Linked DNA regions of Drosophila melanogaster. The protein of the gene in region 3 interacts with the protein of the main gene of each other region in a pairwise test. Each region holds a gene or a part of one and is shown on either strand. Other genes may lie near its edges.

Region 1 (7,099 bases), on a different chromosome or scaffold from region 3:
TATAATAAATAACTTTTGACACTTTAATCCTGTTGTATATAACCATAAATTTCTCTGAGTGCATTCGACAGTGGTGGCACGATGGTTTCAATGAGAATTAAAAGAGTGCAAAGAACAGAAAATTGCATTATGCATAAGTCGCTAGAGCTTAAGCCATTATCGAATCCCTCCACGTATCCAAACATGGACAAATAAAGATACAGAGAATGCCACTAAGAGAGGGAGTGAGAGCGAGAGTCCAAAGCAATCCAAGAGATACGATTCGAATAAGAGATAGAGCGCTACTTGGCTATTGGAGCCGTATAAAACAAGTGTGTCCATATTATGCCCCATCATTGGAACATTGGAACTCCTCGGCTTGATCATGTACCTACGTCAACAACTCTGGGTTCTCTTGCTCTGGCTCTGCTTCGTCGTTCTCAGCGGTGAGTGGTGTTCTAATATCTATATCTATTATCTATATTTTTATAAACCCACATTTGTCATTTGTGAAGTGCATGGCATGCCGTGGAAATGGGGACCTGCCTCCAATTCTGGACCCCATGGCGGACCCGCCTGGAATGGCGGAGAAGAGTCCACCGACAATATAGTCATCCATTCGAAAAACAGCGGCAAGTGGCGTTACTAAATTTATCCAAGTGGCAGAGGCGTGACCACAACCAAGTCAAGCTGGATTTTACAGTAAATTTGTGAATAATTTTACAACTACTTTGCTTCGCAATTGATTTTCGTCGAACAGTACTCGATTTGTATGCTAATACTTCATTCATGGTCACACTCACTTATATATAGTCACTTTAATTGTGCACCTTTTTATCTATGACATTTAAATATAACCCTTTACTATACTGTATGTAATAGAGCCAAAATATTTAAACGAGATTAAAAGCCTAATATTGCAAATATGAATATGAAGATACAGTTTATACGGCTTTTGAAATTGTTTCCTGAATCTAACTAATATTGCAATCGAATGAACAAACCGAAATAATCTACGAAATTATAAGCTATTGATTGATATTGATTTTATTGATAAGTATGCAAACGAGCTTATGGGAATTTTTCAATTCTGATCGTCATAACAATATCAGCACGTGTTTTATAATAATTTTTTCAGAATGTTGCAAATCGCAGCGCACCCAACTTTTCAGTTTCTATGGCATATCTGCGTACTTTTGGCCTGGCTAAAAAGCGTTCTTGATTTGACACAGTTCCCCCCACTCTCTCGATCCGTCTAAATCGAGAGTGAATTGGCAAGCCGGTGACGAAGTGCCTCTGTCGCTCAACCGCAAGTAAACAAAACAAACCCGTCGGTGGCAATTCCCGGTAGACTGCACCGCTGACCTCCTCCGTCTTATCTGTTATTGCGCGAGAGTCACTGTCACTGAGAACCGATCTCATAGAGTATATAGAACGAATACGGCGCGATGAGCCGATATTTTTATGGGATAGTATAAATAGCTGGCATCGCACTTGGCATTGGCATAGTCAATGCAAAATGGGCTCGAACACTGGAGCTTGGATTCTACTGGGCCTGCTGGCCGGCATCGCCTCTCTGTCTAGCGGTGAATATATAGATATACTTTGTATGTGCAGATAGAAAAAAAATAAATTGTATTTTTATAGCTGCGAATATACAGCGAAATGAGGACCAGACGATTCTTCAGAACAATGGAAACACCTTCCTATCAAACGGAGCCGGGCAAATCATTCGTGGACCCGATGGCAAAACAGTATTGATCGGATCCGATGGGCGCAGGATCATCACGGATGCCGACTCCAGCGAAGAGGACAGCTCGCACGATTATGGTCACGGTGGGAGCTATAACAATGTTATCATCAATGGTGGCTCGGGATCCAGCGTAATTCATGGCGATGGACATAGCTTCATTGTTGGAGATGCGAGTCATGGAAGTTACATGAACAGCAATGGACGCAGTATTAGGATCATAAATGGTGCCATCGAACTCAATGATCACGGCCAGGTGTACACATTCAGGCCAAAAGCAGCAGGCATTAACGAAAAGGAAACCGTCACCATCAACGGACAACCGGCTCAGGTGGAGTACTCCAATGGTGATATAGTCATCGAACTGGCCGATCATACGGTGATTGCCAAGATAGGTGGACGCACATTTCTGGGCGATCGCGAATCCTTCGACAATCGGGATAAATTAGAGGCGGAGGCAAAGAACTATGCCGATCGTATCCAGCAAGAGGTGCACGCCAATCTCCAGAAAACCATGGCTGATATTCAAAGGGATCTTCAGAATTCCCTGGGAAATATTTTCTATTAGAAGCCAAGTAATCAATCGTACACGAGTCGCTCGAAATAAAGCGCCTTTGCAGCAATTGTCTTGACTTTAATTGTCTTATCTATGGTTTACAAGCTAAGATGTTCTAAAAGATACATATCTAGTGTGTAATCCAAGTACAACAGACCCCAGACATGAGGCGTCTTTGGGCATAATCTTCCCATTTGACCGGCCTGAGGCCACAAACGTGTGGGTGGTTAGGTCAATTAATGGGAAATGACGCCCGGCAAATGTGATTGATTAGCGGGAAACTCACCGTATAGGCAGCTTATGGGGCGGCTAAATCTAATGCTTAGTATCGCCTAACAGACTAGGTTTGTATGGGCGTGTGGCGATTGGAATACAATTACCGAGCTTGCGGCGGTGTTTATGAACACTTCTTGGTATTTAAATGACGGAATTTCCCAACGAATCTTCGTAAATAAGACCAAGGTCTCTTATTCTTTATATTTGTGTTTTCCAAGCTAACTTAATAAATTCTTAATTAATGGCCTTGATCTTTTGTCAGCCACAAATTGTCTAATTGCATTGCTGTATACATTTGCTTGTTTATGAAAAATGCTTTTAATTGAATTAGGGTGGGTCGAACGAAATTTCTGCTTATTTTGTATTTCTAAATCGAGATTTGAAATTAAATTTCCATCGATGTTAAATCTTAAATTTCTATATCAGGTTGACAGTTATATATTTAATAAACTGCTACAAATTTGTTAAGTGAGAATGCTATAGTCGACTTGGGCAAATCGATAGAAATTTACAAGACAAATAAAAATATATAAAAAGTTTTAGTTTTGGGCGGCTTGTCGGCGTAAGAGGGATCGTTCAGAATGTGTAAGGTTGATCTAGAGCTTGATTTGCAACCCATAGTCAGTACAAACCAAGTATCTTATCTGTGTCCTTGTTGTCCATTTCGAAGATTGATTCGCTGCCATTTCCCATTTTCAAATTCAATGTCAATTCTGTTAATATGAGCGGAATGAACGCAGTGGATGGATATGTGGGGTGAACTTTTTATCTTAATGACTTTATTTATAGGCTGAAACTTAAAAGCGAAAACAATGGTATTCAAGTTATGTGAAGCAAAAATATCGAACTGCGCGCGAGCAGCTAGAGATGTGTTTTTTTTTTATCGATCCGGTATTTGATTGATAAATAATCGATTGTAAGTGGACACGTGCCCAAACACGTTGCGTTTGACAACTGCTTTTCTATCCAATTAATTGCGATAAATAGACGAAACGAATTCGGACCGAAAGATAGGTCTAAATTTATAGTGTCTATTCCTGCGCTTTCTAATGTCAACCACTTGAGATATTCGGAATAAGATCACTCGTCAAGATACGAAAATGAGCTTTTTGTTGACCGAACCGCAGTGGTCCGCCTGGTACTCCGCCTTTTACGCGTCTTCGATGAATCGTCTGGCCCAGAATGTGTGCACCGCTCAAGATCCCATCACTGTATGCCTGCGATCCGAGGCGGACTTATGCTCCGTTCCGTCAGGTGTGAAAACCTGGATAGAGTTGAGCAGGCAGGGCAAGGCCACTACCGGTGGTCCGGGATGGATATGCACGGGCCTGGACCTGCTGTGCCAGGAGATGGACAGAAAGTTGCCGCTTCCACTGGACTTTGAACTCTCCGCCGCACATTTGTTTTTCTGGCACAAGTTGGAGCGATGCAACTACTTCCTGTGGACGGTCGCCGATCTTCTAATGCGTTGCGAACCGCTGGATGGGCGCTGCTTTCGGAATTTAATTAAGAACCCAGTGCCAGATGGAGGCAACTGGCAAATGTTCGTTAATCTGGTCAAAAAATACGGAGTTATGCCCAAGAAATGCTACCTCCACTCCACTCAGCGAACTACAAAAATGAACCTCATACTGAAGAGTAAGGTTGGTATTTTGTATTGTACTGAATATTATATACATATGTATATATTTCCTTCACCTAAAGCTACGTGAATATGCCAGCATGCTGCATGCTCAGTTCACCTTTAATGGGAATGGCTGCCGTCTCCCCGATCTCATTCAAGAAATGATTCCGCATCTCTTCAAAGTAATATGCATCTGCCTTGGTGAACCTCCCAAGGTTTTCACCTGGTCCTTCTACGACCACAAAAAGCGTTACCAGTGCCTGAATGATATGACAGCGGTCCATTTCTACGAAGTTATGGTAGGCTGTACGGTGAATCTAGACGCCTTTGTCTGTCTGGGTCACGATCCGCGAATCTCATCCAGCTACCATAGCAACTATCAGGTTGCCAACAGCTCGAATATGATGGGCGGAAAACCTCATAGGTATAATAACCAATCAATGGACATCATAATGCAGATCATGGTGACTTCTCTGGAAGGTGATAAACCCGTTTGGATGGCCTGCGATATTCGTAGAGCAATCAGTTTGAAGTCCGGTCCATTAAGCCTGAGATCGCATCAATTTGATTTGCTATTTGGCTTTAAAGTGGGCGAGTCGCTCACCAAAGCAGAGAGACTTGACTACAGAGCATCCCGACGGGATGCAGCCCTGCTCCTTACATCCGTTGGATTGGACACCTTGAAACAGCCCGTACAGTTTCGCTTCATAAATGCTTCTACAATTGGCGAGTCTCCCGCCACCGGAGGTCTTAATGAACACGATGTGGACGAAAAGGTTACGAAGGCATTAAGAAAGAAGTCGGTCAAACCACCGGATAACAAATTGGACGCCGAATGGTTAAGGGAGTACGCTTTTGAGATTGTAGTCCACGAAAAATTTGTCCCATCGGGTGTTTTACATGCCGCAAGGATACATAAATGGAAAGAACTGCCTGCTTGGGATCCCATGGGCGCATTACTTAATTAAAAAATTGTTTAGAACCAAAAAAAAAATCTTTCATAAGAAATACATTTACTACATTTTATTTGCCTTCTTGAATAGATAAAAACTAAATCCATTCATTCAATTCAAGAAGAAAGTTCAACAACAATGACAAATTTCAAGTATTTTTCCGAACTGTGGGCGTGGCAACGTGAAATAAACTTGCGCTGCTTAATTTCAACTTTCTAGCTTTTATAGTACCTAAGATCTATCGATCGTGATCATGAATACTTGATATGGTCGAAAACGCTTTCTTCTTCCCTTTTACCCTTTTACTCTACGTGTAACTACGAGTATAAAAACAGTCAGCACGATTGAGTTTTGTTGTTTGTTGAAAATAGTTTTAGTAAGTAGTGAACAATTGACTACACTCTCGTTTAAAGTGTCCCATTTTTGAGTTTCCTGCGAACTCTTGTGCCAGCCGCCAATCGCTTGCATAAAATTATTTAAATATCCCGCAACGTTGTGTCCTTTGTGGCAGTTGTTGTCATCGTCACCGAGGCGCGACCTTCACTAAGTTTTTCGGGAATCGCTCCTACGTGCCCGGCATGACTAATTAGGCATTAGGGAGTTCTCGACAAGAGTTGTTGGCGCGGCCAGCAAAACGGCGACTGTTTTCAACTTAAGGGATTTGCTACTCTAAGGAATTTGCCATCGCACAAAATAAAGAACAACAAAATTAATCTTTGACTTAAAGGCCAGGCGTCTTTATTTTATTAAATTCGGTTACAAATAGCTGCTTAAAATACGGTCTACCAGTAGCGTCGGCCCTGGTTGTAGTACGGATAGGGCTGTGCGTATCCGGGGTACTGTCTTGGAGCCACCTGCTCCACAATCACTGGCTGCACCACCACGGTCTTGGGCTGGAACAATTTGCTCAGGAGATGGCGTGGACCGCGTATGCTGTTAGAGACTTGGTCTGCCGACGTCGGGGGATCTGCTGCTGCGGCCAGTGGAGCAACATGCTGCATATCAGCTGGCACAAGAACATTTTTATCGTCGTTATCAGGAAATGCCAAAACCATCGCAATGGTGAGGCTGCTCAGCAGAAGAATGGCCACGAACTTCATCTCGAAAGGTGTGTGTGCGTGTTGTATGATCTGTTGGCAAATGTAAACTGATTTCCGAAGAGCACAGACTCACCTTAAATAGGAGCAATAGATGGTGCAGGTAGAACAGGTTTTCTTCTCTACCTGTCACAGGATTATGGCCCATTATCCCGAGAGCAGCTGCACAAGGTGATTAGCCCGTTGAATTTCCCAGAAAATTACCCTCTATGGTTTATGGTTAATGGCTTAAGGAAATTCGGGTGTGGTCATTTTTGGAATGCTTCAAACTACTTTTATTAGCTTCGATGTGGTTCCCAAATACATGCACAAACGCCCAACTTTATGCTTTACATTACTTTAGAGAAGGAACTGGGGTGGTGGTGGAAGGCCGTCCGGCGGTGGTGGCATTCCAGGTGGAGCCTGACGACGTTGCTGAGGATGGAGGAATAGTAATGGGTTAAGGATCACTCCACTTATTTTGAACAGCGGACTGTGCTTACTCTGAACTGCGGCGGTGGTGGAGGATCATCATTGGCCACGAGCTTGTCCTCCAATGTATCACGACGGGACTGGAAATATTTCGCAAATTATGTATTAATATATATATCAATATTAATTTGCCAATTAAAAATAAAGTAACAGAAAGGCCCTTCGATATACGGCCGCAACACAATTGCTTATATAAATGTTCTAGTTTTCTACATTTTACTAAGTTCTTACTCGGAATTTCGGAGGTGGAGGCGGTTCGTTGCCGTGAAGAAGGGCGGTTTTCATTGCGGGGACATGGCGCCTTGCCTAGAAGTAGGCATTTAACATAATTTTGCATTAGGAGTGCTAAATTGTGAATGCGCCGCCAGTGCACTGCCTCCTGGGCATCTAGTT
Region 2 (6,640 bases), on a different chromosome or scaffold from region 3:
CCGCTGTCTCCCGAGCCGCCATCTATGTGTGTGTGTGTGTAGCTGTTGGCCAAGTGTTGCTGCTGCAGCTTCGGCCGGTGACAGGGGCAACATCATCATCACCGGCAGGCAACATCCCTGCCCACTCCGCCAGTCTCCGCCCAGCGAGCAGTCACGCTTGCTTGTCAAACACTCTGGCAGACTCTTACGATCTCCGCCGTCTTCGGATGCACCTCCTCCTCCCCCTGCTCCTCCTACGCCGCTCCGTAGCAAAATCCATTTGCATATTTGCATCCTTATGCCTGACAGTTAACGCCCCCCTCCGGACTTTCCACCTCTTGCAAGCGGCGCGCTTTTAACGACAAAGTGTGAAATTTCATTGAATTTGAGCTCGTTGACAAAAGTGGAATGGCAGCAGCAGCAGCAACAACGCAACAACTGCAGCAGCAACAACGCGCAGCAGCAACATCGCAGGTGTTGCAGCTTGTTGTTGCTGCCGCTCTTGTTGTTTGCAAATTAATTTAAATTATGGTTGCTGCGTTTTTTTTTTTCGACAAGCTTTTTATGCCATATTAGCTGAAGGCTGGGGCGAATTTTGTAATGGAGAAGGAAACCAGCTAATTTGGGAAAATCGATACTATCAATTAGTTTGCGTTATTTTGAAAACAACCACTTCATTATTGTATGCTAATATTTCGCACAGCGATTTTCAGTAGAGATTGCAGCCAGGTAGTTAAACTGAAAATTTTAATTTTAAGTCCACTCTTTAAAGAGTAAAACCTTTGGCATTTTAAAATATTAGAAATTTAATACACTTCTACGTTTTGTTGTTCAACGCGTTTGGAAAATTTGTGCGTGGCCACTTCTTGCCACCATGGAAGTAAGTACACAAATCTAGTGCTGCCGGAAAATAGTTTTGACCCATTAACCCGGGTTGCAACATTTTTTCCGCCACTTTTGCTCCACTTACCCGCAATGAGGATTTTCCGAACTTGGGCCACACGGCTTTGGCTTTAAGTAATTTTCTAATGACACCACAGAGGAAAAATGACTCTCGAGGACGACTTGGGGGCTGGCAAGTTGTCTCCATTCCCCCCCAGTTTTGCAGCTCCTGCTGGCGACGTTCATTAGATTAAAAGCAATTTACAGTAAAACTTTTTGCCACAAAACGCCTTTTGGCCCGATGTTGCTCCGCCTCCCTTCCAGCCCCCCCACAATCCAGCTGTTTCACCACACGTTCTGCAACTCACATGTGCCCAAAACGCCGTGCAAATGCTGCCACCACCAACTCCTTAAGCACTGAGAGAAAAGTTATAGTGCATAGCACAAATTATATATCTTACAAAAATACCGTTCTTGAGAGTTATGTCTACTTGCACATCATTTTGTGCATTTGATATATTTGCTTAATAATATATTTAATATTCGTATTTCCTCCGTGTAGTCATTTGGTGCTCTTTCCTCTTCTTTTGGAATTCAACAAATTTGCGGATTTGGTTTGTAATTTATTAAATTTATCGCATGCTCAGAGCGCCTTAACAGTCGTGCAACGAGGAGGAGGAAGATCCCGATGAGGATGAGGACGATAATGGGGATAAAGATGAGGATGAGGGTCACCACCCAGTGGGGCGTTTGGGAGAGAATGACCTACGCCTGCTAATGTCTGCGGTTGCGCTTTTCCGGCGGGGGAGGGGGAGGGGATGGGCAGTGAGGAGCAGATCCCCCGGACGGAGTCTCCAGGCAGTGGCATCTGCAACATTTGTTGATGACAACCCAAAGACACGGAGTGCAACATTTCGGCGAACATTTCGTTGGCCGTATTTTGTGTGCGGCACGCCCATTTGGGGAAAGTCATTGCGAGCTTAGAAGTTATTATTTTGATTTATAGGAAAAGTTCGTTTAGCGAGCGAAAGTTGCTCGTATATTTTCCGCAGTGGAGGATGGAAGAGAGGGGAGTTTGAGGAGTGAAAAAAATTAGATAGAAGCACAGCTTTTAAAGTGTGGCGAGTGCGGGGCGAAAGGCATTTGTATGTATGCAGCTCTTGTTTTCATTATTAGTGGCTAAAACTTTGAAATGTATCTGTATGTGTGCTTTTAGAACTGAAGAGGATTAGATAGAACAATCCAGCATACGGTTCGGAAAACTATTCTCACGATAAATTCCGGACTTCTTCACTGCCACAAATTCCCATTACCATAAACACTAACACTTTATACGTTTTGCACGACAGAAGTTTTACTTCCACAGAAATTTTTGCTAATGTTGCTCCAATAATTTCCAAATTTTCATACCGTTGCCAGCTTAGTCTGCAAATTGTCTGCTGTGATATTCTTCTTCGTCCAGCCACTGGAACAGGGCTTATCATTGTCGGGATCGCCTACGTTTCCTACATCCTTCTCGTTCCCCGGACACCCAGATGCGCAATACGAGTCATGGAGATCGGAGCAGTCCGTATTGCAGATATTTCGCCAGCCCTCCGAATGAATGTGGTAGAGACGCACGATTCCACCAGAATAGGCATCCTTACTGGTCGCATGGTAAATCGCTCGCCTGGCCAGGTCATAGGCCTCCTGATCGGAGAGATCATAGCGGTACCCAGTGTCCAATACGCCGAGCGCATATGGAGAACCGCTGCCCACGGAGAAGACTTGACCATGGGATCTCATGCCCTCCGAGTCCACGTAAATCAGCTTGGGTCCCTCGTCGTCGAAGCCGGCCAGCATCATGCCCATCACCAGACCCATGCCCTTGTACTCCGTGGATATGTTGCAGATGATCCGGGCAGCCGTGTCCACGGTCATGCGTTTCCGATAGCGCAGCTGGTGCAGGCGACACTCCTTAGCCAAAACCCGATCCCAGTAGACGCAATCGGCGGCTCCGCCGGCCAATGTGCCCAGCATATAGTCGTTCAGCTCGACTATTTTCCTCATCGTCTGGGATCCAATATACTGGCCAGAGGTGGCCCTAGAATCAGCACACAGAATCACTCCTCCGCGATACTTGAAACCCAGAGTGGTGGTGCCGTGATCGAAATCCATGCGAATGCCACAGTGCGACAGGATCTTGGGCAGATTTTCAGCGGGCTTGAGAAGAGTTTCAATCTTAGATGGATCTTTTGGATTATGAAACCTATACTAACTCTTTCGAAGGGAGGCGCCATCAGTTCGTAGGGATTCTCAAAATTACTGGTTGCCTCGCGAAGCTGCTCCTTCTGCCATTCGGACTGCAAGTCATCGAAGCGCCGCATAAAAGGCATTTTATTCATGCCGCAAATCGCTTCCAGAGCCATTATGTGTTCAAAAAGAGTTTATTATTTCCAATAAATAGTTTAGTGTAATGTGTAAATGAGCACACTAAACGAGCTCGAATGATTGTGGAGTTAAGTCTCTAAGGCATCTTACAAGTGTATCAAAAATGTACTTTAATCAAAACAAGATCACAAGATCAGAAAGCTGGACATCTTGTTCCCATCAAAATATCGCATTCCGCTTGAAAGTTTCGCTCCACTGGACAATCCGCAGCGGCAATTCGCAGTCTCCGATTCCATTGGCATTTCATGGTTAGTGGGTGAGAGTGGTCGCAGCGGCACTTTCGCCGGCCACCCAAGTGGAATCCAATGGACCTTCTGTGGGCAGTGGCAGTGGCAGTGGCAGTGGCGCCACCGCAGAGATACACGACATTTTAATTGGACTGCCGGGCAGGGTCATCATCGCCACCTGCCGAGATGCGAAATTGGGACCAAAACGAGTGGGGAATGGCATAGAAGGTGCTTTCGCAGTGACCACGCCCACTCGCAGGCGGTGGCAAACGGATTAGCCGCTAATTAAAGGCCAATTGGCAATGTTTGCCAAACTGTTTGAGTCCGCGGGTCGACTGGCCTGATACCCCCCGTGATATATGTCCCATCCCAGTGGCAGTCGCAGTCACTCCGGCTGCTCCCACTGCCTCCATTAGTGGACGCCATGTGTCACTGATCTAAATTTATGCAAATTGCCGAGGACTTGGCCTCCGCATTCCCCAAACCACCGAATTCCATTTCCCATTCCCCATTCCGCATCTCCCATCCGCCACATTGGCACATTTCATTTTTGCACGCGCTTTCCATTGCAGCCTGCATTCCCCCCGCCCTTCGAATGGAAAACTAAGGGGGCGGAAGCAATTCGGAGAAAGGCGGGCTGGAAAGGAAAAATCGAGGCAAAAGAAACGAGCTGGCTAAGCCCTTCATCCAAACATACCCTAACTATGAGTACATGAAACCACTCACTGTTATTTTATTGGTCACGAAGCATAATAGTTTACTGGACTATCTAAATGTTAAGTCTAAGTATTAGTATTAAGTATTATTTAAGTATCCAATTGGATACTTAAGGTTTGTCGGTATATTTTGTATATATTTATTATATAAACTTTAGATTGCTGTAGGGTATTCAGCTTATCAACAAATATGACAATTCTTTCGCAGCGCTGCAGTTGCTGGATAGTTTTGACAGCCAGCTCTGATTATTAAATCACAGGGCAGGGACAAACTGGAGCCGGGGCAGCAATCTGATATGCAAAATCTCGTCTAACCCAGACGATGCTACTCCACCAGCTCCTCCTGGCCACCATCATCCTGCATCCCGAATCCCCATTTCCCCCTCCCTGCCCTGCGCGGCATCTGTCCTGCGTTAATTACAGCCCAGTTTTGTGCACTGGCAACAACTTGTTAAAAATTTCCGCTGCCAGTTTATTAGAGGGCAACTAACTAAGGCAGCGTAGTGGAAGAATCTGGCCATTCCCTTCGCTTTTGGCCTGAAGTGGCTGGCAGATTACTCAGTCTGAACCTGTTTTAATGACTAAAATGACGCCAAGTCAAGAGCGAATAAGAGATTAGGCCAAACTTGAGCTTCCCGTCTGCGAATCGTTGCAGCGCTGGACCAAGAGCACGATTTTGTGGCATCGGATTTAGTTGAGAGCCAAAATAATAGCCTTTTATTCGGTGCATAGTTCTTAATTATTTACAATTTGAAATCACATGAGCCTTATTATACAATAGATGAACTATGCAAGATGAGCGAGTTGCTTAATAGACACTAAACATTGAATAACTTTGCTCTCAATCCACTTAGGCAACTTTGCTGAGTAATAAAAAATAAACCACCTTGTTGACAAGCTTAGGAATATTCCCCGAATCTTTTCAAAGAGTTTCTTTTTAAGCTCTCGAATTACAAAAACGAAACTCCGCCGAGAATTGTTAAAATAAAATTCAACTAAGGCGCACGTAAGCAAAAAGCGTTTTAGGGACTTTCGCCGGCGAATATTTTATTTCACTTTCGTTTTATTTACTTTTGCCGCTTAGCATTATTGTTTCAAAATCCTTCAAATCCGTTGTTTTACTGCTTATTGTTCGCCAACTCAGCCCACCAACTTTGTTGCCAGCAACTTTTAAGCTTGCTTAAGGCGCCCAACCAACCAGACTTGCCTGCTCCCAAAATGACGCAAAACTTTCCCATGACTGGGGCATCATACCCACCACCCACCAAGCCACCGATCTCAGTGAGCCACCCAACCACCGCCGTCCAATTTGTAGTTCATCATCTGTCCCGCGGACCTGTCAAAGCCCCAAAGCTGCCCAAATTGTGACAGAGCGACGGTCGGCGGCGGGGGATTCCCCGAAAGCAGTTTTGACATTTGCGTTTAATTTATTTTAATTGAAAAAGGCCCGCCAAATGGATTAGGCCGTCGTATTCACTTGCGGCCCAGACTTTTCCAAAATAATGCACATCAAAAAATCAATAGTAGCTATCATTAAGCTAGTTTCCACTCAAATCTCTTTTCGATGACCTTCAGGTTAAGTATTCACCTGAAGCATATACAATAAAACACGCTTTTCTAATTTCCATTCAATTTACATTAAATTTGTCTACGTGTGCTGCTTATGAAAAAGTTGATCCACATTGATCCGCCGACATCAAAGTCAGATACAAACCAGTGGGGCAAACTACAATACAATATTTGTACGCCAAACAAAGTGCGGGATTTTACGATGATGCATTAAATTAAAAACTTTGGCCTGAGAACAGTCCATTAGTCGGGCAAAAAGTACACGAAGTCCAATTGCAATGCTTATTTATGGGCCAGATTAAAATTTTATAAATGGAAAGTAATTCCCGAAGTGCGGCCATAAAACAAACTCCCCGGCCAACCGCTCAAACTTTTTCATCATCTCGCCAGGAATCGACATCTTGAGGGGCAGAACTTCTTGTAGGTTTTAACGACTAACGACTTTGCATTGGTTTTCATGGCCAGAGTGCCGAAAGCATTCAAGTTGGCTTTTATGGTTGACACAACATATTTGCCGGCATTCCAAGCCAATTGCCAACTCTCACATATCCGGAGATACGCATCCTAATTGTTGCGCTCCAGGATTTTATGGTTCTTTGAGAGCCATTAATCCGAATTTGATATCTGCCTAATTAGTTTTCCCTGCTTGGCTTTTATGGCCAACAGCGTCGTAAATTTTCATGATCGATTCGAGCGGTAAGGTGCGAAAAGAAAACTCCGCCCAGACGATAGGCAACCAAAAACAACGTGTTTCGTTTGCTGCATAATTGAATTTAATTATAAATCATCCATCCTCGCTGGCTTTTCTCTTTCTTGGATTGCCTTTCCGGGATTCGG
Region 3 (7,730 bases):
ACATTGGGTTAATGGCTCTATAAGAACATTTTTCATTCAGCGTTTAATGTGCCCATAAAAGTTAAGCTATGCTGTAATTTAAGCAGAATTAATTCAGTTTCTTAGCGTCTGGAAAACCGCGAAGCTATTTCATTGATCGACTTCAAAATTTAAAACCTATTACTAAGTGCTCTAAAAACTAGGCACCATTTAGGAGCCAACATGTTTGCCATTTATCTGATAGACTTGAGTGTTTCCTTTAGATTAAGGGGAACTCCGATTCAGGATGCTGCTAATTATTAAGGAAGCTACTGGATTCGCTTAATCTCGTTTTCATCGTCGTCGTTAGCCGAGTACCGAGTAACGGTATCGGATGGTATCGAGTACCGGTACCGAATGCCGAGCACCGTTAGGCAGCTGCTTTTAATGAGCCTGAACTTTCACACCGCTGCAGCAGAATGTAAAACTATTATGCACACTGCAAAAAACAAGCGCTGGTCATTCGCTACAATTACTAAAAAAAAAATAATACTATTTCCTTGAGAATAGCATTTTAATAAATTAGAAATTGGATCTGTGAAATAAGAAATGAACTATTAACCAAAAGCTATGTTTAAGAGCATTTTAGAAAACTTGAGAGAAATGCTCGATCGATTTGCAACTTTGTATTGATCAAATGGCACTATAGAGACCAATTCTACCTTTACATTTCTTTCTGTGTAGCGCCGACGGCCTTGGCGGCTAATTACCGGCGACCGGTAATGCGGTCGCTGCGCCGTCGACCCTGCGTGGGCGGCGCAGCCTTAATCCCGCTCGAACGGATTAAGTCGATGATGCTGGTATGGAATGGAATGGCTTCGGCTGCAGGTGAATCGATAAATGGAAATCGCTACTCCTCTCGCTCCCTCTCTCTCTCTCTCTGTCACTCTCTCTCTTTCTCCCACCCTATCTCCGCTACTCTTTGGCTTCTTCTTTCTTTTGCTTTCTGTTTACACTTATTTACCATTCAGTTTTTGCTGCTTTTCCGCTTTACACACAAACACACACATACACACATAGACGCGGTTATGTAGAACAACCACTAAAGCACCGTTAGTCTAACAGCATCCAAAGATATTCGAATTGTCTTGCCGCTACCGCTGCCGGCGTCGCAGTCGCTGTCTGCTTCGACGTCGGCGTCCTCATGTTGTTGTTCTTGTACTTCTTGTACACTGCTGCTTCCTCTTCCTTCCTTAGCTTTTTCCCCATGGAATTTGCACACACGACTTTGTGTTTACGTTCTTGTGCCGCGATTTAAGTACTGTTATAACTTTTGCCTGTCATCACTAGTTTGCTTTTTTTGTCTTGTTTATTTTTGTGTATTTTGCATAAATTCCCGGCTAACAATTATATATTTTCGTTTGTTTTATTTATGCACCGCGCAGTGCTTATTGTTGTTGCCGTTTCTTGCGGGAGAGATGCGACGCGCACGCAGCGTCGTCAATGGAGAAAAATAAAAGAGAAAGCGCCCGCTCAGCTCAGCCAGTCTCCGTTGACCGCGCGGTTGGCGAGCTTTCTTGCAACTGACTTTCGAGTTTGAACGCGAAACTTTCGATTTCCATTTCCCGATGGCGAAGGACGATAGCCATCATACGATAACGATAGCCCAATGGAAAGCAGCTGTCGGAAATGCAATGGATCCACTGAACAAATTTTGGAACAGCTGTGGCGCTACATTCGAATTGAACAAAATATACTTTAAAATTAAAAATAAAAACGATTGTGCAAAGTCAAAACGTCCCTTTTGATGCTATGCGGGCATTTTTGCACGGATCAAAGCTGTAGTTTTGGTGTAAGCTAAAAAAACAATTGGTTTAAGAGGCAGTCATTTGATTGTCTTAGGCATATAAAAACTATTTAACTGTACTTCTAAATATTTATTTATCCTTACTTTACATCTAATAGATATGTATGAAATTATTAATTTCAATGATTTTATAACAAAGGTATTTATAATGAAATAAGGGGCAAGTTAATTTAATTTCCTAACACTACGAATTAATCAGTGAACAAGATTAATCTTATTTAACTACTTAAAGCTATGACACAGAGGCATATCACACACGTCTAGACATAGGGATTCCAATTGCTGCCGTCCTCGGGCAGCAAATTGTTGGTGATCAGGAGGATGACGTCGATGATCCACCAAACGCCCACGCCGCCCATGGTAAGCAGTTTGCCCACAGCCGTGCCCGTTTGACCGAGACAGAAGCGATCCATACCGAGGAAACCCAGCAGCATGCTGTAGATCAGTGTGGTCACAAAGTAGTGATCCGTGTAGCGGACACAGGGCACTCCGGCGCGCAGAAAGGTGCGATTACCGTAGCACTCGATGTCGGCAAACACGGTGCACCAGACCATGGCGTGCTCCACCTCTTCGTACGTGGAACCACCGAACTTCAGGCATCCGTATTTCTTTTCCTGCTGCGCCGTGGCGTTCTCCCGATGATCGACGGGATCCTTGCAATCGAGAAAGTCGCGCGGCAGAAACGAGCACATCACATTCGGTCCCAGTGGATAGAAGGCCGAGTTTCCAGCTCCGCCCGAGGCGGAAGATGCCGAAGATGACGATGAGGAGGGTCCCATGCCGGAGCCCAGTTGCGCCTGAACGGGCACCACCGATTGCACCGCCGTGCCGGAGACCACAGTCTGCGGCTGCTCCTTGTCGCTGCGTGCCTGTATCGCTTGGGCATCGTGTTGTCTGGCCACCAGGAACGCCAGTAGTCCGTAGAAAATCCGCATCTTTGCGAGCTCCTTATCAAAATATAGCTAGCCAGTGTGGCCACACCTTAGCACAGCTAACAGAGCTCTGTTATCTGCGATGGCCTACCGATAGTTCTGATTTTAAGCACCACGACAACGAATGGAAATAAATAAATGCAAATAAACCACCTTTCAAGTAACAGTGCTCCTTAGCATATTTATTGGCATTAGTGTGATCGTAGTCTTTAGTTAAGTACATTTAGTGAAGTGCTATTTAGTATAATGCGTTTATTTATTTCAGACTAGTTACCAATCACGCGCCCATCTCTACATTCGATAGGCAACGGCCCTGTTGCATTGGTGTGCACACACTGGCCGCGTAATCAGCGGGCGCGAACCATTTTTTTTTTTTTTTGTGCGACAGAACAAAAACAAGAGAATAATAGACGCTTAAAGAGCATTACCCGTCCGAATTTCACGGGCAGTACGAAAACAAGAACGGAGCAGAGAGCCCGCTTAATACGACGCGTCATTTTCCACCATTTTACTGCTGTGATTTGTTTGAATTTTGCTGTGTCAGCGCATTGGAAATTCGTTGGACAAGAATAATGAATCTATTGCTCCTGGTGGCCACCGCGGCCTCCGTGGCGGCACTCACGTCCGGTGAGCCGTCACTGCTCTCGGATGAGTTCATCGAGGTGGTGCGCAGTAAGGCCAAAACCTGGACGGTAAATTCCTTTGTTTCCAACCCTTTTCTTGCTGACGTGACAAGAAAATTGCATTTTCCCGTTTCCTATCCGCCAGGTGGGTCGCAATTTCGATGCATCCGTAACGGAGGGACATATTCGCCGCCTGATGGGCGTCCATCCGGATGCGCACAAGTTCGCACTGCCCGACAAGCGTGAAGTTCTTGGCGATCTATACGTGAATAGCGTTGACGAACTTCCCGAAGAGTTCGATTCCCGCAAGCAATGGCCAAACTGCCCAACCATTGGCGAGATTCGCGACCAGGGTTCATGCGGCTCCTGCTGGGCCTTTGGTGCCGTGGAAGCCATGTCCGATCGCGTACGTAGCTTACCTTATCGATATTATAACCCCTTCCATTCTTTGTTTGTCCAGCTGATAAATTTCCCCATTTTTTTTTATTATTATTTTCTTTTTGTATTTGTTATCAATGATTTTTTTTTTTTTACTGATTTCGCAATGGGCAGGTGTGCATCCATTCCGGCGGCAAGGTGAATTTCCACTTTTCGGCCGATGATCTCGTCTCCTGCTGCCACACCTGCGGATTTGGCTGCAATGGCGGTTTCCCCGGCGCCGCCTGGAGCTACTGGACGCGCAAGGGAATCGTCAGCGGAGGACCCTACGGATCTAATCAGGTTGGTGATCTTCTCCTGCTTTAATGGGATTTTGCAAATCATATTTAGTTTGGTTTAAAAGGGCTTGCAATTTGGTTTTGCTTGCAGATGAGTTTCCAATAAAAAAAAGGGTTTGTTTTCTAACGAAGAAAAACATACTTTATGTGCAAAAATAACCTGTATTTGTACATATTGTATTTCTACGCCGAAATAGTTAGAAAGCAACTTGATTTTGTTCTTTGTTTACTTGAAGTGAACTGAAGACTCAGTTTACGACGCCATAAAAAATTGTATACCACAGATATCGCTAGAAAGCGGCTTAGTATATCATATACAAACATCCATATACACAAAGCTATATGTATATATATCATATACGAACATCTATAGATATACATGCATATATTGTGAATGCACTCCAGATTCGCGTACATCCTCAACGATAAGTTTTAGCTGCTACTAACTCATTTCCCAGATATAGTAAGGCAAACAGAAGAAAAAACGATTCTAATATGCACTTATTTTGCAGGGCTGCCGTCCTTACGAGATTTCTCCCTGTGAGCACCATGTGAATGGAACCCGACCACCATGTGCCCATGGCGGTAGAACGCCCAAGTGTTCGCACGTCTGCCAGAGCGGTTACACCGTCGATTATGCCAAGGACAAGCACTTCGGCTCCAAGTCGTACTCGGTGAGGCGTAATGTGCGTGAAATTCAGGAGGAGATCATGACCAATGGACCGGTTGAGGGCGCCTTCACCGTTTATGAGGATCTCATTCTGTACAAGGACGGTGTCTATCAGCACGAGCATGGCAAGGAGCTGGGCGGTCATGCCATTCGCATTTTGGGCTGGGGCGTTTGGGGCGAGGAGAAGATTCCGTACTGGCTAATTGGTAACTCGTGGAACACCGATTGGGGCGATCATGGTTTCTTCCGCATCCTGCGTGGCCAGGATCATTGCGGCATCGAGAGCTCCATTTCGGCGGGTCTGCCCAAGCTGTAAATGTTATATGTATTCCGGCATCAAGCTGATATATCAAAACCCCTCTATTTTCTATCATCCCTCCTTTTATTTTCATTCCGATTCGCAACTGACGTTTGTAGTTAATGTAAACAACCTAAACCTGATTGATAATAAAGTATTGTATATGACTGTGGAACTGTACTTTGCTCGTATACAGTGGGACCTCTCTAACTAGAAACAAGGCAAACAAAAAAAAGAAAATGATTATCAAACTGGAACTCAGATATAATTAAAAGCGAATAATACTATTTGTGAAACAATGCTATAACTATCCAACTATAAACTATTGTTTAGCGTAGCTATGCCTTTTTTATTTAATAGTAGAGATTAATAGTAGAGAGTATCTGATCCTCTATACTATGTACACACATTTAAATGGAACGCCGTCAATCGTTCAATCGTTAAACTGGCTAGCTGTATGTTTTGCGAGTTATAAATGTGATTAGCATCGCATTTGATTAATCAAACAAAGAGTACAGCTTGCAATCGCATTCGTCATTTGGTGCGATTTTGTTGAGTTAATTTATTATTACATTAGTTAGCTTGGCCATACATACATACATACATACATATATGTACATACATATGTAAAACTTATCTCGTTGAAGCTGCCCACAATTTGCAGCACCAAATGTCCATTCAAATTGTACACATATTTATTCACATAACATGTTTTATTTATTTTTCTCATTTGCAACATCAAATAGAACATTTGTTTTGTATTTTCAGTTTTTTTTTTGTTATCTTGTCATGAACCAACCGCTTCTCTTATCGATTTTCTGTGAATTGATTGACTGGTTTTGTAGCCACTCTTCTATTCACCGAAACTCGATATTTTTCTAACAAACAGCTTACATCGAAAAATATTTGTTACTGCCACATTTCAATTGGTTTACTCTTGTTATTTGTCATATTTCAATTTCAACTGTTGGCTTAAAAATCTCTTAATTTTGGGTAGGTTTACATTATATATCTATATATATATATATCCATTTTCGTGGAATCAGCTCAGCTTAATTTGTTTTGGTTTGTAATTCTTGCTTTGCTTTTATTTTTAGGATTTTGTAAATAGATTGCATTTGGCTTGCTCCTCATCTTTTTTATTTGTTTTGTTCATCGGTTTGTAGATTTTTTTTGTCAATAAATAATTTCATAGTTTGTTCGCTCTTCTTAGAATTTTTTACATACTGAATGCGTGTATTCGTTATTCCTGGACTTTTGCACTTAAGACTCGTAATTAAAATACATAACCATATGTATGTATTTTCTTATGTACGTTAATATTGTTTTCAATGTTTTATTCTTTGATTATTATTTTCTGCATTAGTCATCGTCGTTTTGTATTTCGGGGTTTTTAGCTTATCATCTAAATGGTGGGTTCTCAAAATATCAATGCAATTTCGCTCGACGCTTTATTGGCTTTGGGGATTTCTTATTGCGATAAAGGAGTGAAAAGGTCTAGTTACATAGATGTCTATAAATTGCAAAGATAAATCAAGATATGAAATATTAGAAACACTTAGAGCAAGCACTAAAATGCCATTGTGTGTGAAATTTGAATACGTTTTAGTTTTCCAGTTCTATTTCCGCAGCATATTTCTGCTTTAGGTGGGGAGTTTATATTAAACACAACACGAAACTAACAGATAATTCCAATTTTCGAAACAAATAACGATTATCTCTCGCAAAACTAAAAGTGATATGGAGCAGTTTGAAACACATAAGATAAGCTCAATTTTGCTATTCTGAGAAGTTGAACGCATTATTCATTTACAATTAGATCTAAGTTGGAAAGGAAAGTCGGCGTGGACTTATAGAAAATGTATAGCAAAAATGCCCTTAATGTACCAGCTACGTAGACAGACATAAACCCTTTTTGACCTCTATGAGTATCTGGTGTGTTATTTAATAGGAGACTTGCGTCTAAATATCGTTTTACCTCATCCTTAAATCTTGAACTACTCACTTATATAGGATAAACATTTCATAGGTCGAGATTCATCTTAAACTCTATAAGATCTTCCATCAGTTTAAAGTTTAATACTTGCTACAAAGGATAATTAAAATTGAAATACAGCTAAAAATCGACTGAAGTGGAGAATAGAGGAACGTATAGCCGGACAATACTTTAATCGGAACACTTTTTCAGTTAGCAAGCTTCAAAAAGACCTTAATTGGTAGTTGCGCTATATAAATATACAGTATATGCTTTAGGTATATATATATATATATTACTCGACTCTCATTACAACTATCGGTTTAAACTCTTTAACTTGCATTTACTTTTCAGTTTAGGAAGTATCTTAATCGCTTAACTCAACTAACTTTGGCTTAGGTAAACCTAAACGGATCGAACAGATTACAGCTGACATATACATATATATATATATTATATATATTATGTATATATTACATATATACATCTATATATCTTTTTTATTCTTAAGGTCCCAAGTGTACCTTCAATTTTGGTTAGCGTTTTCTTTAGCTTACAAGATGTGTGAGAGTTTTGTAGTTAACTTGCGTGGACAGCCCATAATTTGGGGTTTTTGCATACATAGTGGTATTATATATACCCTAGAGATGTATATATATATTATATATGTATTACTATATGGGTCAGATTC
Region 4 (9,104 bases), 5.8 Mb from region 3:
TTTCAACGCAAGTTTCTATTCTTGGAGTCGCTGATCCTGAACCGAATATACAATAGGTTAGAATTTCAAGGAATTTTTTTTCATAAATCCTTATATCTTAACAATGAATTGTGCAAAGTTTATGCAAAGTGTTTTTTGTGTGGTTAATCAAGATGGTCAAACAATAAAACGATTAACAGTCCTTAGGATTTACAATGCGTAACTGGAATGATAATCTTTGATAGCTTCGATCTCAAAATCTAGCCAAGATCGAATCATGTGCCTGCAAATATCAACATTGAGATCGATTTCGTCTCGAAATCAAGAAGTTTTCTCAATTATTCCGGTTGTAATTACTTTAATACTTTACTTTTATATCTTCTAAAATTGATTCAAGTTAGTGACAGGCATGTGTAGATTATACTTAAATAAATCAGCACCATAAGTTAACACCAAAAGGAGACTATAGATAAGAATTGATTATCAGCGCTGAACGTGTGGGGCGTATTTTAAAACACTTTGCGTTCCATGGTTATGGTTATGGATTAATCGCAGAATGACGGACCATGAAGTGCCGCGAATATAAGCCCCCAGGCGCGTTGGCAATCCGATCAAATTCATTTCGCCACCAGACAGAGCAACATGGTTAGGTTGGCGTTTATCCTGGGATTGGGCCTTTTGGCTTTGGCCAAAAGTGTTAATGCACAGATGACCAACATATTTGCCATGACCAATACGAAACTGCTCACTGAGCACATTGCTGGTGGGGATCATTATTCGAGTATTTTCAACACCAGACGCTTGTCAGTGGAGTTCTTTGAGCACTACGCCAATGTAACTCTAGAGGATCTCACGGCGAACTCGAACTCGAGGATACCCTCGTTGCAGGATCTCGAGTGCCTAGCGGATCTAGCGCTCCTGTCCAAGGACCTATCGTCCTTTAAATTCTGGGCCCTGAAGAGTGAGTAGTGAGGCTTGCGTACCCAAGGTGCTCTCTGTACCTCAGTTTCGTTTCGATTCCGTTGCAGTGATTGACTCCTGGGGCCTGCTGCCTTCGGGAATGCTGGCGGGCAACTGGTGGAACTTGGGCAACTTCGACGAGTGCATTGCAATTGACCATGCTGTGACCAGCAGTCACAGTATCAAGGGCAAGTACTGCATCACCAAACTGACACCAGCTCCAAGTCTGCTGCCCATATTAGCTCTCAAGTCAGCTGTCTGCTTTCCGGCCACCTGTTCCGCCGCTAACATGGATACGATGCTCCGAAGGCTCTTCCAGAAGCTGCTCACCGTGGAGATTGATGCAGATGTGCAGATCGTCGCCGAGGAGACATGCCAGACCGCAGTGAAGAAACCGTACGATGGCCTCGCCATATTCACCATGTAAGTAGAGATCATAATCATAAAGAGATGATGGATGCGACGATGGTCTAAGATTTGGTTAACACGTAAACTTTCAGAGTGATCGTTTCGATCTTGGGTGCTATAGTGGGCGTCTGCACTATTTTCGATTATTTCTTTTGCAAAGATGAGAGTGAGTTCTTCGCGAATGCGATCCTTGAATCCGTAGTAATCGTCCGTGCTTGTAGAAACCATCCATCCAGTGGTAGAAGCCTTCTCGGCACGAGCTAACTCGCGTGCCCTATTCCGCATTGTGGACACCAAGGCGAATCCCAACGTCATCGATTGTCTTCATGGGATCCGATGCCTTTCCTTCATCTGGGTGGTCTACGGTCATGACTATATGGTGCTTGCCACGTCGCCCAACATTAATATGGGTTACCTTCTGACGGTAAGTTGGGCGAGTAAAAGAAAAACGTAAAAGTTCTATATAATTACCCATTATTTAGTGGATCAACTCATTCTACAGTCTGTTTGTAAAACATGCGGTCTATGCGGTGGACTCATTTTTCTTCCTGAGCGGTCTGTTGCTCGTGGTGATTGCCCTGCGATCAATGGATAGGTGAGTTGTGACTTGAATGATAGGGATATCATTTGAATTACTCAATTACTCACTTACATTGTGTTGTTACTCCGTCCAGAACCAAGGGAAAGCTGAATATACCCCTAATGTATTTGCATCGGTATCTGCGACTCACGCCCATCCTGGCCATTGCCATACTCTTCTACATGAAGATCCTGCCGCTGTGGGAAAGCGGGCCACTTAAAGGATCAATAAGCTTTGATGACTACTCAGCATGTGAGAGCACCTGGTACTGGACACTACTCTATGTGCAGAACTATGCGACTGATAGCCTGGTAGGGTCCTTCGATGACGACATTTTGTATCACCTTATATCACCCACGGTTTCTCGCAGTGCCTAAGTCATTCCTGGTACCTGGCGGTGGACATGCAGCTGTACATCTTTGCACCATTCCTCCTGATCTGCCTGTACAAGTGGGGCAAGAAGGCGGCTGCCGGAATCTTTGTTCTGATGCTCCTGCTGGCCGGCTGTCTTTTTAGCATCATGGTCATCAATGATTTATCGCTGTAAGTGGATGTTAGGGATACTTATATGTAAGATATTCAGAACAATTCTCTTATTTGCAGAGGAAGCGGCGGTGATTCGATGAGGAAGCTCTACTATGCCACACAGACTCGTGCTTCTCCCTACCTGATTGGCATACTGTTCGGCTACTTTCTTCATACCAACCGGGGCAAGGATTTCAAGCTGAACCGCCTGGCTGTCCTCCTGGGATGGCTGATTGCGTTGTCACTGATAGCCAGCTGCCTGTTTTCGATCTATGGTCAGAACACGTTGCCCATTGTGGAGGAGGCCTTCTACGTAAGCCTAACCAGGATCGCCTGGCCCCTTGGTCTCTGCTGGGTGGTTTTCGCCTGCATGCACGGTTACGGAGGACTGGCCAACAGCTTGCTATCCTCTCCCCTGTGGCAGCCGCTGTCCAGGCTATCCTATTCCGCCTACATCTTTCACATGTTCATCGAGAGCTTGAACGGTGGAATCACGCACACAAGTACCTACTTTAGTGACTATCAAGTGGTAGGTACCATGTTCCCTTGTACGCGGAGTTGACCATTCTAAGAATCCCCCTATCTCCAGATGCTTCGATTCTGGACGGACTTTGGCTTTACGATTCTGTTCTCGTACCTCATGCATATCCTAATCGAAGCGCCATTCGCCGGTCTGGAAAGCCTTTTGCTGCCCGCAAAGAGGCCAAATGCCAAGCCGGCCGCGGTGGTGGAGCCCAGGATGTCGGAGGTGAAGGCATCAGTCGAAGAATCTCCAGTAGGTAAGCCTGCGGAAGCGATATCCACGATACCCGACGAAGTTATTCAGGCTGCTCCCGAAAAGAGCAACGTTTTAGTATAATTACATTTAAAATATATGATTTCATGCGTTACGTAAAGTATTAAAACTGTGTTCGAAATTCATTGTACGGTAAGCGATTCCGATATTCTTGATCAGAATCACTGGACGAGTCGATACTTCCATGTCCATCCATATGAACGCAGATACGCCTACTTTTATTATTTGGCTTGCCCATTTCTGTCGATCTGCCCACAACATGTTGGCCCCGCCCACTTTAAGCATCCAAAATACAAGTTTAAAATGTTAATAAATACGTTTCGATTGGTTTGTCAATCGATTGATTTTATCGTTTTATCAGAGCAAATTCTCCAATTTCCTGACTATAAACATAGCATTTCGTCACTACGCAGATGAAAGTCAAGACACATGGTCAGCAAAGTGGGGAAGTCAAGTATACAAATACAAATACGTAATCTATGGAATGTAAATTATCAACAGATTTGGCTCTTATCAAACTGAAAAACTTGTAAACGCTTTGGTGCATACATATCTGATAGTCGAGACACTAGACAAAGTCGTTCCTTCTGTTTTTTTTTTGTGTTTCTTTTCTTTTTTTCTGTAACTGAATGGGGCGTGCATCGCCTCTGTGAGTCAGAATTGAAATCTTTGTGTGCCCATTACAGCAAGCCAAAGTCGGGAATCACCTTCATGACTAATTCGAAACCCACCTGGTCGCAAAAGTCGCAACCAGATAACGACTGATATCGTCTTAAGTGCAAGACTTTTCAACTCAAGGACCATTCATTCCATCGTAACTCTAGACCCGTGGTTAAGTTAATTGTGCCTAGATTACAAGTAGTTCGTTTTAATAAAGGCTAAATAGGAGCTGATAAGTCTAATTTGATAACTCGAGGTCAGTCTCTGTTTTGTTGGCACTCGTTTCCAGGTCAGGCTGGATATCACTGCGCTTCTCGTGCTGCACCACCTGATCCATCCCGTCCATGTGATCCATCTGGTCCATCTGGTCCACGACTTCCGTTCGGGACTCGATATGCAGCTGATCCTTTGCTGCTGGCGGGCTTCTGCGATTGGGAAACATAATTCTTTCCAAGGCCTCCAGAGGCGCCTCAATTAAAACGTAGAGCACGTAGGACATCAGCAGGGTAAAGCCAAAGGTGGACCAAAAGTTGAGCATCTATGGAGTTGGAAATGAAGCGTTCAAGTCCAATAGGAATGTCGAGTGACCCTGCCTGCCACACACTTACCACTTGATAGTTGGAGAAGTACGTATTGGTCTGAACGCTTCTATTGGCGACTTCCACGACAAAGATGTGCCAGATGTAGGCGCCGTAGGAGAGCTTGGACAACGGCTGCCAAAGTGGAGAGGAGAGGAAGCTGTTGGCCAGACTACCATAGCCCTGCATGCACGCAAAGACCACCCAGCAGAGACCGAGGGGCCAGGCGATCCGGACCAGTGTATAGTAGAGGGCTCCCTGCAACACTGAGGGCGATTTGCCCAGCAGCTTGGAGTACGGATACAAGGCGAAGATCGAGGTGAAGAGCGGGGCCAGGCAGAGCAGCCAGCCTGCCCAGGTAGCCAGGAGGCTTAACTTGAATCTTCGGCCGCGCATCAGGTGCAGGAGATAACCGAACATAGTACCGACCAACCAGGGCGCCGCATGGGTATGCGTAGCGGTGTAGATCTTCCTCTGAACCACCTGAGCCTGAATTCCATTCCTGTTAGTAATTGCAATTAGCATTGGGGGACACAAAACGGCGGGCGCGACTGGCTTACTTGAACATCACAGGGAAGTCATTCACCATTATGGTGGCAAACAGGCAGGCGGAGAGCAACAAAGTGACCACCAGGATACCTCCGGCCGCCTTCTTGCCCCACTTGTAGAGGGCGATCAGCAGGATCGGGGACAGGATGTACAGTTGCATGTCCACCGCCAAGTACCAGGTATGCGGCACGCACTAAGGAGCAACCAACAATCAAATAATTAGATAGATAAATATACAGATATAGTCAAGAGCTCCAACTGCAATGGCAATGGTACCACCGAACTTACATAGATGGCGCCAACGATCAATTCTAGTGCTGCAGGCGCCATCTATCGAAGTGATCTCCTATTCGCAGTAAAGCCACTAAACACTTTTAATTATTGTAACTTCTAAGGTATATAAGGTTGATACAGATCCATCCTGATACGGACGGACTAGATGGGCTTGTCCACCTCTCCTGATCAACTTGGACATTCAACTCACCACATCGGATGTTGCGTAGTTCTGCACGTAGAGCAGAGTCCAGTACCAGGTCATCTTGCACCCGGAGTAGTCGAAAAAGCCGATATCATCGTACATTGGGCCGTCTGCGATGAGGGGTATCATCTTGTAGAATGCCAGTATGGCAACGGCTACGATCGGAGTGAGGCGCAGATATCGGTGCAGATACATCAGCGGCACATTTAGCTTTCCCTTGTTTCTGGAGCCATTGAGAATGTTAGCCTGCCTACAGATCGGATTAATCCCTGTACAAGTTGACTCACTTTTCTATGCTTCGCAGGCCAATTGAAACCAGCAGCAAGCCGCTGATGAAGAAGAACGTGTCCACCGACAAGGTACCGTAGAGTATGAAGCTCGAGAAGAGTTGCGTCGCCCATCGCAGGTTGTCCGCTGGATTGATGGCGGGACCCTTCATGTTGATAATGTACTCATGGCTCAAGATTACCCAGATCAGGGACATGCACCGCATGCCATTGAGACAGTGGATTACATTCGGATTCGCCGTGTTCTCCACAATGGTGAACAGCGAACGCGAAGTGGCACGGGCTGAGAAGGCGCCGATGGGACGGGGTAGCTTTTCTGCGGGTAGACATGGATATATGGTACATATACATACATATAGGCTGTTATCCGATTTATGTCAGCTACTTACCCTGCTCCGGACACAAGAAGTAGTCGTAGAGGGTGCACAGGATAACCGTGACACCAAATACGGACAGTAGAACGCTGATGGTAGTCAGTTAGTATGGATAGATCAGCTAGGATGTATCAAGACACTACTCACACTGTGAATATGGTGAGCCCATCCCAGGGTGCTTTCTCCTTGATTCTGCACGACGTCTCGCTGATGGAAAACAAATTGGTCGGATCACTGACGCCAAGCAGCCGCTTGAGCAGTTGCTTGAGGAACAGCTCCATGGTGCCCGCCGAGCAAGAGGAAGGCAGGCACACAGCAGTCCTTATGTTGGTCACCGCCAGCAGCTCAGAAGTGAAACCCAACCACTTGGCAACCGGCAGCTCCATGAAGCAGTACTTTCCCTGGATGTCCTGCGATGAGGTGAGCATTCCGCCCTCGGACAGGCACTCCCTGTAGTTGCCCATGTCGACGCGGTTGCCAATGAGATATCCCGATGGAATGGTGCCCCACGCGTCGAGCACTTCGCATAGAAGGGATAAACTCAAATGGCATCAAAGTTGAAGATGTTGTAATACCCACTTTTTAGGGCCCACGCCTTGGGCGCACTAAGCGCACTCATAAACTGGGCCATATCGGCCAGGCACTGTAGATCTTGTGATCCAATCCGCTCACCCAGAAGATGCACATCCGCCGTTGAAATGTTCCGAAATTCGCGATAGAACTCCATTGCCAGGGAGCGCAGATCCAGGAGCCGTTCGTAATCCGCCATGGAGGACACATCGTGTTGTGTCCATTGATTATTTGATAGTTGGGTCGGCAGCGCTCCTTGGACCATCGCCATTCCCATGGCAAGCAATATAGCCAATAGCTTGATCATCTTTCGCCTGGAGCTCCTAGTTTACGACTGTTTAGCGAATCACCCTTCCCTGGCCCATTTATACACAGGCAAATCCTGCTGTGCATTTCCCATTCGAAATCGAGAATTCATTATCTCATTATCTGCGCCTCCGACAATAGAATAGTTACCAATAATCGGAGGCATAGCTACCCTTGGTAATCAGGGCAGCGAACTCTTAACGTGGCTAATACTATTGCGATTCGGATGAATACCCGGAAAGATAAGCCGCTGGATTTGGCTGTTTCGGTAGCATCTCTACCTTGTCGAATTTCCCGAGAATACTTAACTTAACTTAGCTGCTGATTAAAAGGCGATTTGGCTTTCCATACAACATGACTAATGGTATTCAAACGAAATGTTCAGCAAATTGTTGCTCAGTTGTCTGTCGTTTTTTTTTTTTTTTGTGTCTGCAATTCCGACATTTTTCGGGACAGAGATTTGTCCAGTTTTTGATTTTGACATGCAATACTTATTTCTCGATATCCTGTGTTTTCCAGGTTTTCCCAGCTTTTGCTGGAAAATGGAAATTCGAACGAGTTTTCACTTTCGTCTAGGTTCCCAGCCAAAAGTGGAGGGGTGTGGCACCGACTGGTTTTCGTATGAATTTTGGACCAGATTCGCATTTTTTGGTTATGCAACAGCAATACATCAAGGTTACAGCGAGAAGGAACGCCAAATGCAACCGAACCGACTATCAGATACCCAGCATTGCCAACGCGAAAGTTAGTGTTTTGAATGGTACTTTTATATATGTATATAAGTAACTATGACTTAAATTAGATTATGCATAGTTGCCTATTTGAAAAGACCTGAACAACCGGTACAGCAGTCAAAATCTAATTTACATGCAGAACTCAGGCAGCAAGTGTCAAAACTTTGGTCAAAACTTTCGGAAAATCGAAGGTCTAAACTGGTTTTTCACCCAATTCCGATGCGAATGCGAATTGCAAACGAGAGTTGCTAACCATTGTCCAGTTGCGCCAATGCTTGAAAAACCAAAAGCTGTTAATTACTCTGGAAATGATTAAATATATCTTGAAAATCAAATGCAACAGCCGCAGCCAAACCGAAATTGAAATTCATATTATTATGAGAGCAAATCGTGACAGCCCCTCTTTTTCGGCACAGTGGTACAAACTTGACGAATTAGTCAACGAATTAGTAAGCGCCCACTGTTCGTAAAATCTTTCCCAATCGAATACACCTATAATATTCAGATAATCTTCATTGTTGAACATTTGAACTGTTTTGAGGAATGAGATTTGACACAAGTTCAAGTGAAATTGGTAGTATGTACATACATACGTTTGTATATGGTATATAACCACTTGAGTTTACAATTATAAAACAAGCAATCTATGAATGATTTCCCTATCTTATGGGAAACTTATCTGTGAATTATTGATATTTTGTTAGGGTTTTAAAACATGTAGATTCGTACTCGACACAGAACAATCTAAATAGTATAGATACTTAATGAGCTTGCAGATAGTTAGTTCCCTTGTGTATATCAATCCCTTATGTTGGAGGCAGCTCTACTATATGGTATATGCTATGTGTATGTATGGTATATATATAGGTGGGTATATGGAGTTCTAGTCCCACGGTGCGTGTTGTTTAGCCTCTTAAAATGCACTCGCCGCTAAGCATTATGCATAGTTCGAGCTGCACTTACGATCTATAAACTGGCGCAAAAGTAGTGCAAAAGTAATTGTTGCCACGCACTGAACTCGTTGATAACCGCCGGCAGTCGGCGGGGTCTGCGATTACGAGATCCAGGCGGACGGTCGCAGCTAACCCGTCTAACTAGTTGACTTTGGGGGGGCACTTAATCCGCGACGCCCAGGCCCGCGTGGCACCACTCCGTTGGAGTACAGGCAGGCGACTCCAGCGCTGACCAGCGCCAGTTCTGATTGGAACGGCCTTTCGAGCGGTACACACATACTCTTTGATCCGTCAGGATGAGGATGTTACGTCTGCAGTTGATGGCCCTGCTGTTGGTGGGCCTGCTCCTGGCGCTGATCTCAGCCGA

The links.
Region 1: the proteins of CtsB (region 3) and CG13423 interact in a two-hybrid assay, tested with the Drosophila melanogaster proteins (one large-scale study listed by BioGRID).
Region 2: the proteins of CtsB (region 3) and Prosbeta5R1 interact in a two-hybrid assay, tested with the Drosophila melanogaster proteins (one large-scale study listed by BioGRID).
Region 4: the proteins of CtsB (region 3) and CG14204 interact in a two-hybrid assay, tested with the Drosophila melanogaster proteins (one large-scale study listed by BioGRID).

The regions. Positions count from the first base shown.
Region 1 is NT_033778.4:20,533,028-20,540,126, forward strand, and holds CG13423 (uncharacterized protein), read left to right. Parts: upstream 1-3,550; 5' UTR 3,551-3,661; coding exon 3,662-4,204; intron 4,205-4,265; coding exon 4,266-5,153; 3' UTR 5,154-5,237; downstream 5,238-7,099. Other genes in the region: CG30154 (uncharacterized protein), read left to right, coding at 365-425, 495-628; Bbd (bombardier), read left to right, coding at 1,499-1,565, 1,627-2,297; CG13427 (uncharacterized protein), read right to left, coding at 5,921-6,238; CG13428 (uncharacterized protein), read right to left, coding at 6,575-6,649, 6,718-6,786, 6,938-7,012.
Region 2 is NT_033778.4:23,306,460-23,313,099, forward strand, and holds Prosbeta5R1 (proteasome beta5 subunit-related 1), read right to left. Parts: upstream 3,358-6,640; 5' UTR 3,270-3,357; coding exon 3,120-3,269; intron 3,064-3,119; coding exon 2,266-3,063; 3' UTR 2,195-2,265; downstream 1-2,194. Other genes in the region: HP1Lcsd (heterochromatin protein 1L chromoshadow domain), read right to left, coding at 6,588-6,640.
Region 3 is NC_004354.4:13,777,529-13,785,258, reverse strand, and holds CtsB (cathepsin B), read left to right. Parts: upstream 1-3,088; 5' UTR 3,089-3,329; coding exon 3,330-3,449; intron 3,450-3,525; coding exon 3,526-3,786; intron 3,787-3,932; coding exon 3,933-4,100; intron 4,101-4,608; coding exon 4,609-5,082; 3' UTR 5,083-5,412; downstream 5,413-7,730. Other genes in the region: amrt (amaretto), read right to left, coding at 2,086-2,760.
Region 4 is NC_004354.4:19,581,589-19,590,692, reverse strand, and holds CG14204 (uncharacterized protein), read right to left. Parts: upstream 7,077-9,104; 5' UTR 7,052-7,076; coding exon 6,754-7,051; intron 6,695-6,753; coding exon 6,322-6,694; intron 6,264-6,321; coding exon 6,190-6,263; intron 6,117-6,189; coding exon 5,801-6,116; intron 5,737-5,800; coding exon 5,520-5,736; intron 5,229-5,519; coding exon 5,047-5,228; intron 4,989-5,046; coding exon 4,517-4,988; intron 4,447-4,516; coding exon 4,147-4,446; 3' UTR 3,636-4,146; downstream 1-3,635. Other genes in the region: CG14219 (uncharacterized protein), read left to right, coding at 622-940, 1,008-1,362, 1,440-1,513, 1,569-1,771, 1,830-1,942, 2,022-2,238, 2,298-2,470, 2,531-2,981 and 1 more; CG14218 (uncharacterized protein), read left to right, coding at 9,034-9,104.